2 linked regions of the Anolis sagrei genome follow. The protein of the gene in region 1 interacts with the protein of each later gene in a biochemical or structural test. Links are inferred from orthologs where the notes say so. Each region holds a gene or a part of one and is shown on either strand. Other genes may lie near its edges. The genes, in order: APBA1 and CNTNAP4.

Region 1 (11,073 bases):
AGGGCCACATTTACTATGTGGGTGCCCTGTTGCCCTTTGCCACTCCTCACTCTAGAAAGCAAGACAGACAGCCCCCCTCCCAGGCTCCCACAACCCACTGGATCGGTTTCATAGCAATCATAATCCTCCCCGGTAAACACACACGTCACTCACTGCCTGCATGCACCAAGCCTCGCCTCCTGCCATCTCAATGGAGAGAGAGAGCGAGGCGCATCCATCCATCCACCTACCTTCTCCCTTCTGTTCTCCCTCCACAACCGTCCTGTCCCCAGATGTCACAAGTGTCACCCCAGCCCTTAAGTCTTGAAGAGTGGGGCGATCACTAGTTTCTCTCCTTTATAATCCAAGGAGGATTGCCCTCTGGAGCAGGGGAGAAACAGGCTCCAAGGTCTCTTATTAGATGTAAAATCTATGTGTGGCTGTAGAATAGATGTTCTCAAAGACAGACTCCACTCATAGAGGTTTGTAGTTTATTTATACAGAGTGGAGAAATCCTCTGGACTGAAGGAGAAATCAGCTCCAACTTGAGGCTGTCGCTTATTTCTCCCTTTCTCCTTTACAATCAAAGGAGGACTGCCCTCTGGAGCAAGGGAGGAATAGGTTCCAATGTCTCTTATTAACACCTATATAGGTGTAAAATTGATGTATATCTGTAGAAGAGACGTCCTCGAAGACAGACTCCACTCGTAAAGGTCTGTTTATATGGAGAGGAGAAATCCTCTGGACTGGAGTAAAGGAAAAATCAGCTCCAGTTCTGTTCTGTGTTTGGAACTATGTAGGTGCAAAATGTATCTGTATATGGAGGGGGAGAGCTCTATTACCAGTCATATAGTCTTGTAATGCATTGTTATTATCGATAATATCAATTCTGTTCTCTGTTTGTAACCTTGTAGGTGCAAAATTATCTGAAGGGAGAGAGGTCCAGTACCAGTCATATAGGGTTGCAATTTATTATTATTATGTATAATCCCAATTCTGTTCTCTGTTCGCAACCATGTAGGTGCAAAATGTATCTGGGGAGTGGGGGAGGTCTATTACCAGTCATACAGGTGTGCAATTTATTATTATTATGGATTATGATAATAATAATACTTTATTTCTAACCCGCTCTCTCTCCACAAAGGGACTCAAGGCAGCTTCCAAAGACAAAAATGGCAAACATTCAATAAGAGAGATCCTCTGGAGCAGAGGAGATATAGGCTCTCATTTTGCTCTCTACTACCAACCATATAGTCCCTCCAGGGGTGAGAAAAGCGGTATATAAATACTGTAAATAAATAAATATAGGTGTAACATTGATCCATATGGAGGGAGAAATCTTTTGGAGCAGAGGGGAAATAGACTCTGATTTAGTTCTCTACTACCAACCATATAGGAGTAGCACTGATTCCTATGGAAGGAGAGTCCCTTTGGAGCAGAGGAGAAATGGGCTCTAATTTAGTTCTCGACTACCAATCCTACAGGTGTAACACTGATTTCAAATAGAGGGAGAGATCCTTTGAAGCAGAGGAGAAAAAGGCTCTAATCGATTTGCCCCAAAGAAATGGGAAATTATTGTTTCCATTTGATGTTTGATGTTCTGTTTATGTCTATTATAATAGGCTGTGCTTTTTATTTAATTTAGTTTGTTAAGTTATAATTCGTATTTATATGTTGGGTTGTATAAATTTTGTTAGTATGGATGTATTGTTGTATTCAGGCATTGAATGTTTGCCTTTTATATTTGGAATTTGCCCTGAGTCCCTTTGGAGAGATAGAGTGGAATATATATAAAGTTTTATTATTATTTTATCTAATTTTGTTCTCTACTACCCACCATATAGGAGTAGCACTGATTCATATGGAGGGAGAGTTCCTTTGGAGCAGAGGAGAAATGGGATCTGATTTAGTTCCCTATAGGGTTGTTTTTTTTTGTCGTGTCAAGAGCGACTTGAGAAACTGCAAGTCGCTTCTGGTGTGAAAGAATTGGCCATCTGCAAGGACGTTGCCCAGAGGACGCCTAGTTGATTTTATGTTTTTATCATCCTTCTGGGAGGCTTCTCTCATGTCCCCGCATGAGGAGTTGGAGTTGATAGAGGGAGCTCATCCGCCTCTCCCCGGATTCAAACCTGCGACCTGTGGGTCTTCAGTCCTGCCAGCACAGGGGTTTAACTCATTGCGCCACCAGGGGCTCCAAACCCTATAGGTGTAACACTGATTCATATGGAGGGAGAGATCCTATGGAGAAGAGGAGAAATAGGCTCTGATTTTGTTCTCTACTAATCATACAGGAGTAACATTGATTCATATGGAGAGGGAGATCCTTTGGAGAAGAGGAGAATTAGGCTCTCATTCTGTTCTCTACTACCAACCCTATAGGTGTAACATTGATTCATAGCGAGAGAGAGATCTTTTGGAGAGGAGGAGAAATAGGCTCTGATTTTGTTTTCCACTACCAACCATACAGGAGTAACACTGATCCATATGGAGGGAGAGATCCTTTGGCGCAAATGAGAAATATTCTCTGATTTAGTTGATTTAGTTTTCTACTACCAGCCATACAGGTGTAACACTGATTCATATGGAGAGATCCTATGGAGCAATGGGCTCTGATTTAGTTACCTACTACCAGCCATATAGGTGTAACACTGATTTATAAGGAGGGAGAGATCAATTGGAGCAGAGGAGAAATAGGCTCTGGTTCTATTCTCAACTACCAACCATACAAGAGTAACACTGGTTCACATGGAGGAGGAGATCCTTTGGAGCAGAGAATTAGGCTCTGATTCTGTCCTCTACTACCAACCATATAGGTGTAATACTGATTCATATGGAGAGAGAGAGAGATCCTTTGGAGCAGAGGCTCTGATTTTGTTCTCTACTACCAACCATCTAGGAGGAGCACATGGAGGAGATCCTTTGGCGCATATATGTGTAACATTAATTCATATGGAGGGAGAGATCCTTTGGAGCAGCGTTGAATTTGGCTCTGTTTCTATTCTCAACTACCAGCCATATAGATATAACATTGATTCACATGGAGGAGGAGATCCTTTGGAGCAGAGGAGAATTAGGCTCCGATTATGGTCTCCCTCCACCACCAACCATATAGGAGTCACATTAATTCATATGGAGGGAGAGATCCTTTGAAGCATAGGCTCTGATTCTGTTCTCTACTACCAACCATCTAGGAGTAGCATTGATTCATGAAAGAGAGCACTCCCCTGGAACAGATTCCAATTTTGTCCTCTATTATGAAGCATGTAGGTGTCAATTTTATTTATATGGAAGGAAGCTGAGGAGAAACAGGGCTCCAATCCATATTACCAACCACACAGGTGTAAAGAAATATTCATTTTGGAGGACAGCGAGATCTCTCTGGAGTAGAAGAGAAACGGGCTCCAATTCCCAACCATTTAGGTGTAAGGCTTATTTGTAGTAAGGAGGGAAATCTGGAGCAGAGGAGAAGCAGGCTCCAATCTCAATCTCTCTCCTTCTAGGTTTCCAATGCACTGCTATGGAGGCATGCAAGCACACCCCCGCATGCATCCAGGCCCTCTTGCTTGGCAGGGAGATCCCCATTTTTCCCCCCTCCAACAGCACCATTGATGATCCCTTTCCCCTCCAGTTCCATGCACTGAATACATACAGAGGCAAGCAAGGCAAGCATGCATCAAGTCCTTCCCCTCCTCCCAAGGCCCCTCTTCAGCTTCCTTTCCATCTCTTAGAAGATCCCCGTTGTTAGCTTATCCATTGATGAGCTACCCATTGATTATTTCTCTCCCCTCGCCCCCAAATCAAAAGGAAAAAAAAAGAGAGGAGGGTTACCTTCTTTTTCCTTCCTCCAGGGAACCTGCGCATCGAGGGGGGAATCTGGATCTGGATGGAGGCGGAGGTTAGAAAAGGGAGCCCAGGCAGGCGCGCGCCCTCTTTCCCTCTCGCGCGCGCTGCGGCCGCCTCTCCACCATCTTCACCCTCCTCCTTCCTCCTCCTCTTCTTCTTCCTCCTCCTCCTCCTCCTCCTCCTCCTCCGCAGCCCACCCGCTGGAAAGCCAGCAAGCCCCGCCCCTCCGGCCCCTCCCTGGGCCCGCCCCTCCGGCGCCCGCGTGACTCCCGGGCCTGGCAATGAGGAGGAGGAGCTGCAAGGCTTGCAGCTGCAAGGAAGGACATCTCTGCAAACGCAAAGCAAGGCCAGCACAATGTGGCTGCGGGAGGAAACAGGAGGAAGAGGAGGAGGAGGGACTAGGCCCGCTGACCAGCTACACCAGGCATGGCCAAACTTCGGCCCTGCAGGTGTTTTGGACTTCGACTCCCACCATTCCTAACAGCCTACCGGCTGTTAGGAATGGTGGGAGTCGAAGTCCAAAACACCTGCAGGGCCGAAGTTTGCCCCAGTGCTGTGGCTTCCTGGGATTTGTAGTTTCATAAGGTCCTTTTTAGCCCTTTCTCAAAGACTTCAGAATAGGCCCTATCAATGAGAGACCTCTAGGGTTGTATCTATGCTGTAGAGCAGCGTAGGGACATCCGTAGGGAGACCAAGGTGCTTGTTTATAAAGCTATTGTCCTCCCAACCCTGTTATACACCTGCGAGAGGTGGACTGTCTACAGACGTCACATGCAGCTCCTGGAACAATTCCATCAGCGCTGCCTCCGGAAAATCCTGCACATCTCTTGGGAAGACAAGTGGACAAATGTCAGCGTGCTGGAAGAAGCAAAGACCACCATTAACTCCATTTGTCCGGCCACGTTGTCCGGATGCCTGACCACCGTCTCCCAAAGCAGTTGCTCTACTCCGAACTCAAGAATGGAAAATGGAATGTTAGTAGGCAGGAAAAGAGATTTAAAGATGGGCTCAAAGCCAACCTTAAGAATTCTGGCATAGACACAGAGAACTTGGAAGCCCTGGTCCTTGAGTGCTCCAGTTGGAGGTCTACTGTGAGCAGCAGTGCTGTAGAATTTGAAGAAGCACGGAAAGAGAAAAACGTGCCAAGAGGAAGGTGCGTCAAGCCAACCCTGACCAAGACCGCCTTCCACCTGGAAGGCAATGCCCTCACTGCGGGAGAACATGCAAGTCAAGAATAGGGCTCCACAGTCACCTACAGACCCACCGCCAGTACACTGATCCTGGAGGACTATCCTACTTGGACAATAAGGGATCGCCTAAATCAAGAGGAGCATTTCTCAACTTGGGGGTCGGGACCCCAGGGGGAGGTGTCTTGAGGGGTTGTCAAAGAGGTCACCAAAGACCATCAGATAACACAGTATTTTATGTTGTTCATGGGGGTCCTGTGTGGCAAATTTGGCCCAGTTCTATCATTGGTGGGATTCAGAATGCTCTGTAGGTGAACTATAAATCCCAGCAACTACAACTCTCAAATGTCAAGGTCTATTTTCCCCAATTCCACCAGTTTTCACATTTAGGCATATTAAGTATCCGTGCCAAGTTTGATCCAGATCCATCGTTGTTTGAGTCCAGAGTGTTCTCTGGATATAGGTGAACTAAAACTCCAAAACTCAAGGTCAATGCCCACCAAACCCTTCCAGTATTTTCTGTTTGTCATGGGAGTTGTGTGCCAAGCTTGGTTCAATTCCATGGTTGGTGGAGTTCAGAATGCTCTTTGATTGTAGGTGAACTATAAATCCCAGCATCTACAACTCCCAAAAGACAAAATCAATCACCTCCCCAACCCCACCAGTATTCAAATTTTGGGTATTTGTGCCAAATTTGGTCCAGTGAATGAAAATATATCCTGCATATCTGTTATTTACATTACTATTCATAACAGTAGTAAAATTACAGTTACGAAGTAGCAATGAAAATAATGTTATGGTTGGGGGTCACCACAACATGACGAACTGTATTAAGGGGTTGCGGCATTAGGAAGGTTGAGAAACACTGCTGTAGAGATACAGGCCTGGGCAAACTTGGACTCTCTAGGTGTTTTGGACTTCAACTCTATGTGTGTGTGTGTGTGTGTACACACACACATATAATAAAAGTGAAAATATGTATGTGTGTATGTGGCTGGAGTGTCTACTTATAAAGACTAAACTTCTGCCTTCACAAACAGCTCTAACTCCCAACTACCCAGGACACACCGATGGCCCTCCCTCCAATAATACTGCAGGTTATACTGAGTGCCTAAACATGTGCAAGAGGCCTGCCAATGTCCTCCACAAACATCATACTGCCCACCACCCAAGTGAATGCTTTCATATGGGGGCAATTTCATCCTAGATGTTATGTGTTTCCTCCTCCACAGACATCCCACTGTTTCTTACTCTCTCCATTGGTGTGGAATTTGCATGACCCCACCCATGGCCTCTCCCTTAACCCTTTCCTATTATTTTATATGGCACACAGCAAACAGGAATTGATCAGCAGCTGAACATACTAGAGGGGAGAATTCACCATGATTTATAGGAGTTGTAGGTACTGGGATATATAGTTCACCTGCAATCAATGAGCACTCTAAATTCCACTAAAGATGGAATCAGACCAAACTTGGCACACATCTTTGGGGGAAGTTCACCTTGATTTGGGTGAGTTGTAGCTTACCTACACCCAGAGAGCACTATGAACCCAAACACCGATGGATCTGGACCAAACTTGGCACACATACCCAACATGCTGAAATTTGTTTACTGGAGAGGTTTGGAGGGAAATTGACCTCTCTTTCTGGGAGTTGTAGTTCATCCACAACCAGATAAACTATGACCCCCACCAGTGATGGACCTGGATCAAACTTGGCACATAGAATGCACATGACTAACTCAACCTACTGGAGGGGTTTGAGGGGACTGACTCGCCATAGTGGGAGTTGTGGTTTACCCTACAACCAGAGAGCACACTGAAGCCAACCGATGATATATCTAGAGCAAATTGTGGTGATCGTTTTGCTGTCTGTGCCCCTGTTCAGCAAATTTCACCTCATTTTCTGTCTGATAATTAGATTTAAAAAACTTTGGCTTGTTGTGGAAACATTTTTTTCCTGTGTAAGGAGCGATTTGAGAAGCTGCAAGTCACTTCTGGTGTGAGAGAATTGGCTGTCTGGAAGGACACTGCCCAGGGGATGCCCGGATGTGGAGACCCCTTTTCCCCATGGTGGACTTTTCTTCCTAGAGGCAGATTTCTCTCACTTCCTGTTGTCTCATCCTCATTCTTAACTACTGGTGATTTATTAGTCAGATGTTTGTAACTTAGGGACTGCCTGGGTTAAATATTTAAGAGAAGTTAAAGACTAACACTTCAACTCTATGCATGCTTGTGTAGAAGTCCTACAGTGTTCAGTGAGGTTACTCCTTATAAAGTGTGCATAAGACTGTAGTCTAAAAACTATACAATATCTCAATATACAATATCTCAATATATGTTATTTCCCACAGTCACCTACAGATGTGAGAGCTGGAACATAGAGAAGGCTGAGTGAAGGAAGATAGATGTTTTTGAACTGTGGTGTTGGAGGAAAGTTCTGAGAGTGCCTTGGACCGCAAGAAGATTCAACCAGTCCATACTTCAGGAAATAAAGCCTGACTGCTCATTGGAGGGAAGGATAATAGAGGCAAAGATGAAGTACTTTGACCACATCATGAGGAGAAAGGAAAGCTTAGAGAAGACAATGATGCTGGGGAAAAGGAAGGAAAAAGGAAGAGGGGCTGACCAAGGGCAAGATGGATGGATGGGATCCTTGAAGTGACTAGATTGACCTTGAAGGAACTGGGGGTGGTGACAGCAAACAGGGAGCTCTGGCATGGGCTGGTCCATGAGGTCACGAACAGTCGGAAACAACTGAACGAATGAACAACAAATTTCAATATAAAATTAAGCGTACAATATTCTCCCTTAAAAACAATTTTCCATAGTGTATACATTAATATTTTGAGGAAAAGTTATATTGTTGTGAGAGCTAAATAAAGTTCAAACCTAGCAGATTAAATCATTATTAAAATACACTTATTATAAGCACACAAAGTGGAATTAAATCTGTAAACATGCATATTTTGCTACAATGCTGTTCACTGTCAATTTTAATCTTTTTTAGAGGAGAAAAATCCACTCCAGAAGAAAAGCATCTTTGAATTTAAGTTGCACTGAAATTAACATAACTTGTGCAACCATTTTGTTTCCAAATCAGAGCTTAAGGCTATTGTGCTGTCACACCCAAGGTGCTTTAAATGGCTTTAGCATTAGCACGTCCTGGCTTTATATCAACTTGGGGGATGCTGGATTGCCTTCCTGTTTGAACAAGGAACCCCACAGAATCAATGTCCATGTTACTGCTTTCAAAAAAATAATAATTTATTAATTGGTCTTGTGGGCCTATCTCTACGTAGGCACTATCTTGATTTCCCCACAACAAAGTCCATACTTAAAGTTTGAAGGTAACTTGTTCTTGAGGTTGCTGGTCATGGATGACTGGAGATGAAGGACAGATGAAAGTTTTCCTTGATCACTTTCTCTGGTAGAGGGGCTTCTGGTGATCAAGGTGATAATGCTAGAGGTAGAGAGCACAGGTCCCTCCTATTGAGACCTGACCTCGCTGAAGGTGCTGGAAACTCCATAAACTGTCACTGACCAGAGGTAGGTTAACATAGCCGGATGAGTTCCCAGATTAGTTATTGGCTTGAAATGGCTTGTCAAAGCCTGAATTTCACTGGGACCAACTACAGACACGTCTTGCTTCCAAGATTTCCTGGTGGTAATAACCCTAAGCTAAAGATAGCTCTTTTTCCCTGGGCAAAAGGGCAGGCAAACTTATTGATATAAACCAGGAAGGGTTTTCTTAAGCTCCACCCTCGTAAAACTAACAGAAAAGTGACTATTACAGGAGCAGTCAAACCGCCTGTTCAAACAGCTCCACTGACTGCCAATAAGTTTTCGGTCCCAGTTCAAGGTGCAGATCATCACCTATAAAGCTCTAAACCAGTGGTTCTCAACCTGTGGGTCCCCAGATGTTTTGGCCTACAACTCCCAGAAATCCCAGCCAGTTTACCAGCTGTTAGGATTTCTGGGAGTTGAAGGCCAAAACATCTGGGGATCCACAGGTTGAGAACCACTGCTCTAAACGGTTCGGGACTTGCCCATCTTCAAGACCACATCTTCCCTTACGAACCCACACGGTCTCTGAGACCTAGCAAGGCCCTTCTCTCGCTTCCATCTCCATCACAGGCATGGTTGGTGGGGACAAGAGAGAGGGCCTTCTTGGTTGACGCCCCCTGGCTCTGGAATTCCCTTCCCAGGGGAGATCAGACTAGCACCCTCCCTATCCACCTCACAAAGATCTAAAGACATGGATGTGCGGTTGACTAAACAATTCCCTTGACAATTGGCCCCAGCTACGACCCAACAATTTTGACCATGCACTTTATTATTGTTGTATCCAAAATCAGAATGATTCTTCTTATATTGCTCTTATCCTTAACACTAGGAGCCCCCGGTGGCACAGTGGATTAAAGCACTGAGCTGCTGAGCATGTTGGTCGAAAGGTCGCAGGTTCGATTCCGGGGAGCGGCGTGAGCTTCCGCTGTCAGCCCTAGCTTCTGCCAACCTAGCAGTTCGAAAACATGCAAATGTGAGTAGATCAATAGGTACCGCTCTGGCGGGAAGGTAACGGCACTCCATGCAGTCATGCCGGCCACATGACCTTGGAGGTGTCTACGGACAACCCTGGCTCTTTGGTTAGAAATGGAGATGAGCACCACACCCCAGAGTCAGACATGACTGGACTTAAGGTCAGGGGACAACTTTTATCTTTACCTTAACACTGCTGTATGACTTATGCAATTTACACATTGGCCCTGTCCTCTGAATTGTGTATCTATCCACCCACCCATATCGAGACTTCTTGTTGGTTTTGATGTTTGTTTTATATTTGTTATAATGTTGTTTTATGCTGTTTAAAATTGATGGAATGCATTCTAATGTGCTACGTTTTAACTCTGTTGATTGGGCTTGGCCCCATGTAAGCCGCCCTGAGTCCCTTTGGGGAGATGGTAACGGGGTATAAAAATAAAGTTGTTATTAGTTGAAGCACAACAAGATGAGTCCACAGCAAACAAAATCACTATGCTGGCTATTGTATTGGATCACACATTGGACACTTCCCAATATAATAAATTGTTGTTGTTGTTGTTGTTGTTGTTGTTCTTATTCTCAAACTGTGGGTGAGCAGCCTAACAAAAGGAGATGGGACGTACATTTCCATCACAACAATACTTTCATTTTTACCCCATTAATACAAAGTTCCCCAAATAAACACAAGAACTTGTCTCTTTCTAATTTAGGATAGTGTTAAAGTGATAATTTGCAAATATTGAAACGTATAAATATGGCTCTTTACAGCTACGTGCAAATTCAACAATTAACCCAGACTCCCAGTTTATTAAAAAGCTTAATAATGTAACATTTAAAAGACCTTTCACAGATAACATTAAGCTGTTTTAATCATAGCAGCCAGGTGGAGCAAGCCTCTTGAGAAATGAATGGCTCTTGCTTAAGGTCTATAACTGTCACGTGGGTTGTATCCATGAATGTGTTCACATCCTAGAAGAAAGCCACAATATATTACAAGGGAGCGAGAGAATATACATGGCTTTTTAAGGTCAGAAAGCTCAACAATTGCTAGAGAAAGAAACCAATGCTTCTAGCATTTGAAACTCTGGAATTCTAGCTTTCAAATATCATTAAACTTTAATCTCTAGTTTTTAGAGTGGTTTGCGAAATGCATACTGTACAGGAAAATGGTTGAGAAAAGGTTTTATTGCAGAGCCTTCCAAACATTTCATGTTAGGACACACTTTTTAGACCTGCAACATTTTGAAACAAAGTGATTCAGTTTTACTTAGCAAACTGGGAGTTAAACCAACCCTTTATAAGAGATATAGACACGCACATAAATTATAATAAAGTGTTATTATGAGAATCTTTCATTTATATTTTAAACTAAATTGGGTACCTAGCGTTGCCTGGGTTATTTGAAAAAGTCAATTTTTTAATTTTACAAAATGCATAAGGTTGTGGGTGAACCACAACTCACATCATGCCAGGTTTATCCTGAGAAACTCCATCAGTACTTAAAGTTTGTTATGTTGGGCA
Region 2 (11,023 bases), about 11 Mb from region 1:
AGTACTGGAAATGATGAATTCATAGTTCCATTCCTGCAGATAAAACACACTTACTAGAGCAAGGGTTGGAACTGTGCCTCCCTCTAGTTGTTGTTGAACAGCTACTTCCAGCAACTTTATATAGGATAATCAGTGATGAAGAAACCTGAAAGCCATAACTCAACAACTGGATGGTCATACGAGTCCCACTTCTGTACTGGAGAGAAAGTCCCTTTGAACATTGTGGGATGACATCTATAAGGCTGTGTCAGAACAGATTTGTGGTGGCAAAGGCTTTCAAAAACTAGTGCTCACTACATCAGCTTTGATTCCTAAAAGTTAACACTACAAGAAATCACTTAAACTTTAAGGTACTTTTTCAGTCTAGCATGTCTGAGCCTTTGGAAATAGTAAGAGTTGTCAACTAATTAATGACAATTAGACTGATTGGTCTGAACATTTAAGCTGTTGGGTATATACATTTAAAAAAAAACAATAATGTTTTCTTTTGTGAAAACAAGCCATTGTCTGTGTGGGAGGGACGCCTTACAAACAATATGCATTACTATCCCCTCATGCACAGACTGGATGTCCACTTACCCATCTTCCAAAATACATCTTCCTCCTCCTCCCCCCCCCCCCCCCGCCCTCCACACACAAGTATTTATGGATCTTTCTGGGTCTTCCAGTACTATTTCATTGTATGCTTCCAACCGAAGCATAGTCAAAATGTAGCATTTACTATTATCAACAGTTTCAGGTAGCCATGGGGGTTTTGGAACATATTTCATAGGATCATAGAATCATAGAGTTGGAAGAGACCTTGTGGCCCATCCAATCCAATCCCCCGCCAAGAAGCAGGAAAATCACATTCAAAGCACAGATACAGGGCTCATACTCTATTCTCACATTGGTTTAATGCATGTCAATATTTTCAGTGATACCTAACCTAAAATATGAGGTTAATTATAGTTTAGTCTAATGCTTATTTCCATGGAATTCCAAAGAGATGAACATTTCATAACACACAGTTTTGTCCAAAACAATGACTGCCAACCAGTTTCAATAATTTCTATGAAAAAAAATCAAATAAAAAAAACTTTCAAAGTTTGAAAAAAGTAATAAAATAAACCCTATATTGTCTCTATTGGCAGAACTTTAGAGCTTTCATTTGTACTTTAAGGCTTCACCATGACCTTTCACAGTATCAAATTTATGGCTATATGTGTCCGTTCTACTTCAATTGCTTTGGAAGTTTTAATTCTTTAGAAGGAGATGACTTTTGTGTTGCCTGTACTTCTCAAAATATAAGTGTTCCCAAGGACAGCTATTCCCATGCTTGGTAAGTCATCTAGTGATAAACCTCAAAAAAGTAAAATATATCTCCTTCAAAATTTTATATTTGGCCTTCAGTTGATAAGACTTGCCTATTTCTGATACCTTAAATAAGCATGGGGGTTTTCAGTGAAAGTTTAGCTTTGGCTCAGAGTACATGCTTTGGAGGGAAGTATATGTAAACGAGGACCAATACACACCTATGAACTGTGATTGAACAATACCTTGCATACTTAACAGAAAATATTTCTATTGGTACATTTTTAGTTTAAAGTAAACAGTTGTATCAGTAAAAGAAAGAGCTATTTTTTAAAAATCTTGGGAATCATGGTATGAGCTTGGGTAGATTTTAAGATCCAGCATTAGGTCACATATTAATTATATATTAATCTACAATGCGAATGGATGGAGTCTCATTTCTGAGTACAATAATGATGTCCTTAGCAAATCCTATTTCTGAGGAAAATCAATGCAAGAGATAGAACTTGAAGGCTCTAGTACTTGGTTCTCACCATTCACATAGTAGTTTATTGATGTAAGAACTGCAATCTTAGCTATTAAGCCTGTATTTATGTTAATACCAGTGATAACTGAATAAATATGGAAGCTGAAGCCAGAATGTTGACTTGAAATTATAAACATATAATATGCTAATTATTAGCAAAATGCTATTACAGGTCAAATACTTATTTCGGACCAGGGGAGTTATATCTATTACCAAAGAAAGGGAAAGTCATTGAAATAATATCAATGACTCGAAGAATATTTCAATTTGTAAGGGGGAAGAGAGAGAGACTGGATCTAGACCATATCAATTGATTTATACTGTATCTATTGGTCTTTAATCCCAATAGGATCAACAGGACAGCTTGCAGATCATGACTAACTAAAGCATGATAATATAATCTATAGGTTAACTCCACATCTACAGTATTAACAGATAAGAATGATGTGTGCAACCAGTAAGGTAATGCTGAACCCAGCTCTTTGGTACAATTTGGGACATTGGCTTAGTTTTTAATAAACATAATGACTATATATCGGTTTTATCTCTGTATTCATTTCTTTATAAAGCTACTCAACCCTCTTCATCATTGCATCCCTCATATTTCACATTTCTAAAATTGCTAAATATCCATTTTATTCTGAACTTATTTCAACCATTGCTTTACAGCAATTAACCACTGCATGTAAAAGGACATATTTGAAGCAGTTAACAGAGGTGCATATAACTCAGAGGTGTGTTGGCTCAAAAAGTAAAGGCAATAATCACAGCAGATATCTGAGGTTTTGTTATTCTGGTTAATTTTGTTCTGGGAAGATCTTTGCTATATTTTTCTCTGAGTATTGCTTACTAAATTGTAAGAGTGACCTCTAGTGCTTTGCTGCTTCAGTATATTTCTTGGAATCCTATTTTGCTATAGGTTTAAAATGCCTTTCCACAACCATCTGTTTTAGTTTTGTGCTTGATACCAAAAGTTATTAATGTGAGAATCATTTATGAGACCTATATGAGTATGAATGGAGTCATAGAGTCCATCCAGCAGAGCATTGAAGAATTTAAGCATGCACACACACACACACACACACACACACACCAAATTTGGATAAATAGCAGTGGGCCCCTTTTTTATTCTGTTCTGGAAAATCTGCACTTGAATGTCAAATGACATATCGTGACAGAACAACAATAAAAAGACCAGCTTGGTCCCACTGAGCAACTGTCAGTTATATGATAGTCTATCTCAACCCTCAGCCTTTAAATCTCAAAGCATATGATGAAAGCTCAGCACTGCCACTTTCATTTCTCATTTAAATGTTCTCAAGGACCTGTCCCTTCCAACACTGTTTTAACGTTATTCACGAATTCCTACTAGTCCCGGCACTCAGTACCTCCAGCTATAATCACCACTAGGTTCACTGATACAGACAGAGGCTTTATCAAAAGAACTCTGCAACTGTTAAAAGAATATATTGGACACCCAATTGATATGTTTAATGTAAAATTAAGTATATGGGGCATACAGAATACCTGAGAAAAACTATAATGTACATCCTAATGAACAGTCAATGCTTAGTGCATAACACATGCACATACACACACAGTGTACATACCAATAAAAACCACATCTGAGTCAGAGTTAGAAACTGTTTATGCAGATCTATGAAAAGTACTTGTTTTCTAGCACACTCACTCACTTACATTTTAGAATCCCATTCTGGGTTGTTTTTCTATCTAAAGTAATGGTTTCACTATCATTACAGAATATATATTTATATAAAGCTACATATAAGCAACCTTTACAATGCTGCTACTGAAATCCACTGCCTCGGCACACATGAAAATTACGCACACTGAAATCAATGAACATGCCATAAAATCTCATTCTCAACATTTACTCCTTATTACAAATGCTGTGCTCTTACACTCTACAGCACTGAATAGCAGAGTTCCGCTTAATACAAGAGAGCGGGGAGGGGGGAAACCTGTCTGCAAAATTCTACATGTCTTAAAGCTCAAGGTGATGCAGCGGAGAATATCAGCAAAGCAGTAATCTCCCTTAAAAGGCTTAACTCCTTGCAAAATACTGTTATGCTGCTATACAGCAAGCTTTTGCAAAGAAGGAAAGAAATACAGCACACCTTCAGCAGAATGTGATTTTCCAATTATATTGGATCCTGGCTTAGCTGACAGCGTTCTGATTACAACTTGCTTTTAAAAAAAATAAAAAATAAGAAATGAACAATTTGTGAAATGACACATTTTATCCTCTGAAACACTTTCATCCTATCTACTTACTTACTGACCAGAACAAATGTATTGGAAGAGTTATTCTTCCCAGTCTGGATCTCATTACACTAAGTTTTTTGACTTCCTCCTAGAACAGCCTGATTTAAGTTTGAATATCCATTTGTAATACTTACATTTGTTTCCTGCTGCTAATATATTCCAGTGATGAAAAGGAATCAGAAAGACCAGTTTGAAGAAGATTTGAGCAAAAGAATCCATGTCCTCATTGACTGAGGCACCCTGAAGTGCCCGAGTATTCAGAAATGGGGACAGCTGCTCTGCACTTCAGTCCTGTTCCCGCTTCCTCTTCTCTCCTTCTGTTTCTTGCTCTCTGCCTGCCTCTCAGTGCTTCCGAGTAGCCAATAGCTCAGCCAAATGCACTCTGCATCTTCTCCTGTGTGTGTATATATATACACACACACAGGGAGAGCACAAGATCTGTTCCTTCCCCCTTAAAAACAGCAATCCCTGAAGAGCAGCTGCAAGGATCTCGCCTCTAATTTCACAGAATCACTCAGAGCTAAACTGCAAGACTACCCTGTACAGTTTGGTTACTGAAGCTTCACATTCGTAATGTGTCCTGGACACCCCTTGTGGTGACAGGTAGGAAATGAGAGTCTATGATGAAAGCCAGACAATAAAGAGAGCAGCCTGCACATGTGTGCCTGTACAGCCTCCCCGCTGGATTATGACTGTTCCCAATTATTTATGGTCATGCAAGGGGAAGGGAAACAGAAGCAGAACAAGAGCAGAAGGAAAAAGGCTTTCATCATGACCACCCTTTCCCCCATTTAGTCTGTATTTAATGACAACTTTCACCTGCTCTATCATTCACAAAGACTAAAAGAAAATGTTGTAATTTTACATCAGAATTTACTATCATGCAACCAAACTGTATTTTGCCATTTTGCAGACAATAATTCTTGTATTCAGCCATAGAACCCCACATTCATCTTCAACTGATGCTGAAGGATATTCCCCTGAGAGTAATTTTTAATAAGATGTGGAGAGCCCAAATTGCTATGAATTGTAACCCCACAGATGTACTTCAAAAGCTCTGTCTTGCAGTTTTTCACATATATTGTAGGGTATAATCACAAACATAAAAGGGAAGGCTAGAATGACTTTGAACTGTTATTATGCAGCACTGTTCAGTGGATTTTGAGTTTGAAGTTCTGTAAGGAAGTTACAGATTGTTAACTACTACTTGTAAATGTGATAGTATCTAAACACAAATAAAAGGATAGATACCTCTTCATTGCGAGCCAGGCCATCTTGGTTTCAGTTATCCAATTCTTAGGATTGCTAGAAACATGTTCCATCATAGACACTGCATGTCCTTGAGACTTGTGGTTGTTGTTTATTTGTCCAGTTGCTTCTGGTTCTTTGTGACCTCGTGGACCAGCCCACACCAGAGCTCCCTGTCAGCCGTGGCAACCCCCAGCTCCTTCAAAGTCAAGGCAGTCATCCAAGGGCAAGATGGATAAATACCACCCATCCATCTTGCCCTTGGTCAGCCCCTCTTCCTTTTTCTTTCCATTTTCCCCAGCATCATTGTCTTCTACAAGTTTTCCTGTCTTCTCATTATGTGGCCAAAGTACTTAATCTTTGCCTCTAATATCTTTTCCTCCAGTGAGCAGTCAGCTTTATTTCCCGGAGTATGGACTGGTTTGATCTTGCAGTCCTAGACACTCTCAGAATTTTCCTCCAATGCCACAGTTCAAAAGTGTCCTTTGCTCAGCCTTCTTTATGCTCAAGGTCTCACAACCTTGAGACATAACATTTATTTCCAAAAACAATTACATTCAACCATGACTAAAGAAGAATATCCAGAGAGAGATACCACTGCATATTCTCCACTAGAGACATAAATAAATACTGATCCTATTTATGCTGTTGAAACACTGATCTCAGTTGGGTCAATGAACTGTGTTCTCCATAACATTAACATACCTTTTGAGAAGTGAAACACACACTTGTTCAAGACAAATTGCTATATTTCAGTTCTGAGTAACATAATTTCTAATTAAATGGGTGGTAGCTGATGCGGGGTGGGGGGAGGGTGAATGGGTGCATCAAAAACAACAAACCAAAACAGATGGATGAAAGATTCTAGCAGGTGCTACAAATCAAGATTGTGCCTAATAATTTTTCATTTTCTCATTTCATCATGGGTTTCTTCCTATTGCATGTGGAAATTCAATCATACAAGGTTTGAATGAAAAGTAATGCCTCCACCTTCATAACTCCTCAACAGATGGCAGTACTGGTATGCAACTGGTATTGGCTTATTCAGTAGACTCTCCTCTTCAGTTCCATTTGGCAGGAAGCTTTATCATTGAATCGTTGTGTTGTTAAAATGAGAAGTATGGAGCCCTGCGCAGACGGTCGGTCAATGCGACTTAAACAACATGCAGTCATTGAATTCTTGACAGCAGAAGGTGTCACCCCAAAGGAGATTAATCAGAGAATGCAAGCTCTTTATGGTGATTGCATTGATGTGAGTACTGTGTGTCACTGGGTGAGAAAGTTTAAAGATGTTGAGGTGGGAACATCTGACTTGTGTGGCAAACAAAGAGTTGGACTTCCTGTGACAGCAACCATCAAGTTTCACAAGCAAAATGTTGACAGAATGATTGTCGTATCACTCAGAGAGAAATTTCAAGCATAATCGGCATTTCACAAGAACATGTGGGTCACATTATTGCTTTGCTTGGCTAGCGGAAGATCTGTGCACGATGGGTACCCAGTGTTGGGGTTCAGCCTGAGTTTGAACTTGAACCTGATTCTCTGTTTGTTCCTCCTGATGCTAATGAAAATATATTTACTGATGCTAATGAAAATGTACCTCTTGATGCCAATGCTCCTGAAATTAGTGAGGAAGAAACTTCTGTAGATTTGGAAAATGAAAGTACCAGCGTTCATGAGAATGTTTCAGAGGGAAGCCATGACCTTTCACTCCCTTCTGCACCTGGTAACTTTAATGAGAACAGAAGGGGCCAGATCTGGCAAGACAGAAGTAAATCACTCAGCTTGCGAAGGTCTTCCCAATTAAAAGAAATACAAACAACGGCTTCAAAGCAGAGAGGCGGTTCACCGAACCAATTCTTCGGCTTTAAGTGCCTTCCGCCGGGCTGACTTTCTCAGTTCAGGCATCGTTTCAGATTGATGAAGACCTTGGGAGTTCTCCCGGTTTTCCTAGCCATTGTCTTGAAAGATTTCTAGGATATCAAGTATGGTTAGTGGATTGCTAACAGGTTCCAGTATTTTACAGTGTGGCTTTGGGGTTTTTTTGTCCATTTAAATTCATGTTTGCTGATTTTGCTGTGGCTTTTGACTTGTATTTTTCCTTTATTCTGTAACCATTTTTCTTCAATAAAAAAGGATTGTTTTTCACAGTCAAGTGTGGTGGATAGTTATCTTAGGGCCTCGTTTCCTGCTCTGGATTGCAACACCCAGGATGCTGATGCCTGAAATGAAAGCGCACAGACTTGAAATTTCAGAGACTGGATTTCACCACCATATGGCATCCTCCATATAGTCCAGATTTAACAATGTCTGACTTCCATCCCGATAATGAAAGAAGATCTGCGGGGTCATCCTTATGCTTCTGATGAAGACATTGTGAGAACTGTGAGATGCTGGTTGCAGAAACAGTGTCAACTTCTTCCGTGACAGCCTTAGAAAACTTGTTCATCATTGGCAGAAATGTATCCCATTGTCTAGTGATTATGTAGAAAAGTGAATAGTGGTAGTTAAAGAGCACATTCTAAGGATTATTTCTGCATTTGAATTATTAAAATATTCCCACCCAAACCCAAGTAATGAAGGTGGAGGAATTACTTTTCATTCAACCCTCGTAGTTTCTCCAAATTTATGGTGTGATTGGGTTTTCCACCTTTTGCACCTCTGAAATGGATCAGAAGACTTAGATTTCCAAGATAAAAAACCAAACAGATCCCTTTTCCAAAGGCAGGATCTCCCTGGACCGGCTAGATTTTAAACTAACTCTATTTTTATTTCAAGGGTATGAAGCATTAAATCTCACCAAGAGAAATAAGATTAAACTGGATAATTTTTCTAGTGGCAATGCCCATCTGCATAATGCCATAAATTACCACCACATCGTGACATATATTTGCATTTTTGTACTAAAGAAAATATATATTCCTCTACATGATTTCTTTTTTTTAAAAAAAAAGAGTAAGGTATTTTATAGTTAAGGATTATGAATGTTAAAATTTAAGTCTACTTACATTGACACAAGAATAAATGTAATCATTGTATTGTCGAAGGCTTTCATGGCTGGAATCACTAGGTTCTTGTGGGTTTTTTCGGGCTATAGAGCCATGTTCTAGAGGCATTTCTCCTGACGTTTCGCCTGCATCTATGGCAAGCATCCTCAGAGGTTGAGAAGGTCTTCATTAGCATTTGACTCAGGCAGGCCTTCAAATGCTAATGAAGACCTTCTCAACCTCTGAGGATGCTTGCCATAGATGCAGGCAAAACGTCAGGAGAAATGCCTCTAGAACATGGCTCTATAGCCCGAAAAAACCCACAAGAACCTAAATGTAATCATATTTGAATATACAGGAGTTGTGACATTGAAAGAAATGACAGCTGGCTATGAGTTTAAAGAGTATTCACAAATATCTCACCTCCATCAAGAAAAGGTCTTTTGTCACATTGAGAAATCATGTGAAATGTGATTTTAAGGACTTTTTGTGAAAGTTTCAGAGGCTTATCTATCTATCTGGTTGATACCCTTAGAACAACCCCCCCCCCCCAAAAAACCCCCTGTTACATGTCTTTTTTCAGAATCTCCAAATGAGAAAATCCTTAGGTAAAAATGCCAAAATCCCCAGTCATTCTGCCCAAGACTAAACTGTAGTTCTCATTCTTGCATGCAATGAATCAACTAAGCGAAGATTTTAATCTCTACTGTGGAATCCCACTTTTTCTCAAACTAGTTATTCTTGTGAATACTGAATACATTAGTTAGCTCAGAACACAGACAAAAATAAGTGAAACGTATAATTCATGACAAGAACTCATATGCTGTTTTCCTGAGAAATTAAAGATTTAGTCTTTGACTGCATTATTTTGTTCCAAAATTATAAGAACTGTTGTTAGTTGTAATGTAAACAAATCTTTGTCTTGTGAAATGATAGAGAATAATCAATTTAAATATGCAATAATAATCACATCTACCTTGAGATTAATAACTGATTGACGAGATCATCCACCTTTCTTGTATGAGTGTACAAAAATTCACATATTTGTATAACACTAAAGATTACCATCATATCGGTTGGATCTCAGTAACACTATTATAACCGAGGTATCTATAACATTCTAACTTTTATAATTATGATGTTCCTTCAAATACTCTATGATTCATATTATGGAGGCTGATAAGGGGGAAATAATAATTGACTCGCTTTAATGACTACATTCTACCTAGCTTCTTCTCACTATATTCTTCCAACATACACACACAATTATGACATGCTCTCTTTCTTATTGTTTGAGAAGCTATTTAGCTTTCTATTTGAAAGACCCTTTATTTCTTACTTCAAATATGTACTCTCGAAGGACTTAACTGTCACCTCTGCAGTCTTGCCAAACTTTAAACTCGTTTCTTCCTTTCCCTTATTAAAAGTCCTTCTTTCTGTCCTTTTTGTAGTTCACTAACATTAATCATCATTCCATTTAATGTTATCATTGTGGCCTTTTCTCCATGACCCCACTACAGAAAAGAACCAAACTCATTTCTTTTACTCCAAAGCATCTCATTCCATCTTTTATTTCAAGACTGTTCTGTAGAAGAACAAGGCATAGTTTAAATTATCCCAATGGCATTCAAGACTAGTCATTCTCAGATCTCCTACAGGATGGGCCTAAATTAATCATAAAAAGGTCCTACATATAATGAATATGATGCTGTATATTAGATAGCATTTATGAGATTTGCTTTTTCACACATAATGTATTTTTTCCTATATATATATGGTATACGATGCTATGGCATTGTAAATTAAAAACAAAAAATAAAGGTGTTATTAAATATTGAAATTCTTTCATGACCTTTGGCCCGCCCTGTATTTGAATTCTTGGAATTAATCACTAAACTGTAATTTAGGGAATAGATGCTGAAAAAAAGACAGACCACCACAAGCAACAGACCAATTCACACTCAGAAGTAGCAGCATGAAATCTACTTTCAAGTGGCAATGGCTAGCACCCTGTTCTTTGTTTGCAATATCATAAACCAGACTTGAGACTATCTCATGAAGAACGATTGCAGCTGGAACAACACCATGTACATCCCACTGCAGGTCTGCCCCCTCCTCCCCTGCTTTATAATTTTCCCATCCCTAGGTATTAACAGGAAACAATCAATAGCTCCTATCACCTACCTTAGTGTGATGGATCAGTTCCATTTCTGTGCCAGCATGCCAGCAGTGCAGTGATGTGAAGGAGTGGGATTGTCCTACCCCCCCCCCCAATCGTTATTCCCAAGATGAATGTTACATTTGCTTTTGATACTGAATGCTGTAACAGTATCATCATTATCATAGAACAGCAGCCATTCTCAGTACACATCCAAGTTCATCCTATGAAATAAAATGTGGCATTGTATCCAGCCAATACCAGCTGCAAATATCTTATTTCCTGTTAAGTGTTTTCTTCATACTCATTCACTCAGGCATCACTGGCATTGAAACTATTAAATACTCCTAAGAAGAGGGGGTTTATGTATTTTAAGAGTGGCCATTGGATTCCAGCTCACAACATTCAACAATACTGGTTATAAAGGCTAGCACTGTTGGCAGGTATAATACAGTACATCTGGAGCGTCATACTTTGGTCAATCATGGTACAGAATTAATCTAGTTTAACAATTGTGGGTAAAAT

The links.
Region 2: the proteins of APBA1 (region 1) and CNTNAP4 form a complex in vitro, tested with the Homo sapiens proteins (2 studies listed by BioGRID and IntAct, with this or other methods). The link is inferred for Anolis sagrei from reciprocal best matches to the Homo sapiens genes APBA1 and CNTNAP4.

The regions. Positions count from the first base shown.
Region 1 is NC_090022.1:222,037,622-222,048,694, forward strand, and holds the start of APBA1 (amyloid-beta A4 precursor protein-binding family A member 1), read right to left. Parts: upstream 3,988-11,073; 5' UTR 3,808-3,987; intron 1-3,807. UniProt on the Homo sapiens protein: Putative function in synaptic vesicle exocytosis by binding to Munc18-1, an essential component of the synaptic vesicle exocytotic machinery. May modulate processing of the amyloid-beta precursor protein (APP) and hence formation of APP-beta.
Region 2 is NC_090022.1:232,923,977-232,934,999, forward strand, and holds the start of CNTNAP4 (contactin-associated protein-like 4), read right to left. Parts: upstream 4,759-11,023; 5' UTR 4,325-4,758; coding exon 4,240-4,324; intron 1-4,239. UniProt on the Homo sapiens protein: Presynaptic protein involved in both dopaminergic synaptic transmission and GABAergic system, thereby participating in the structural maturation of inhibitory interneuron synapses.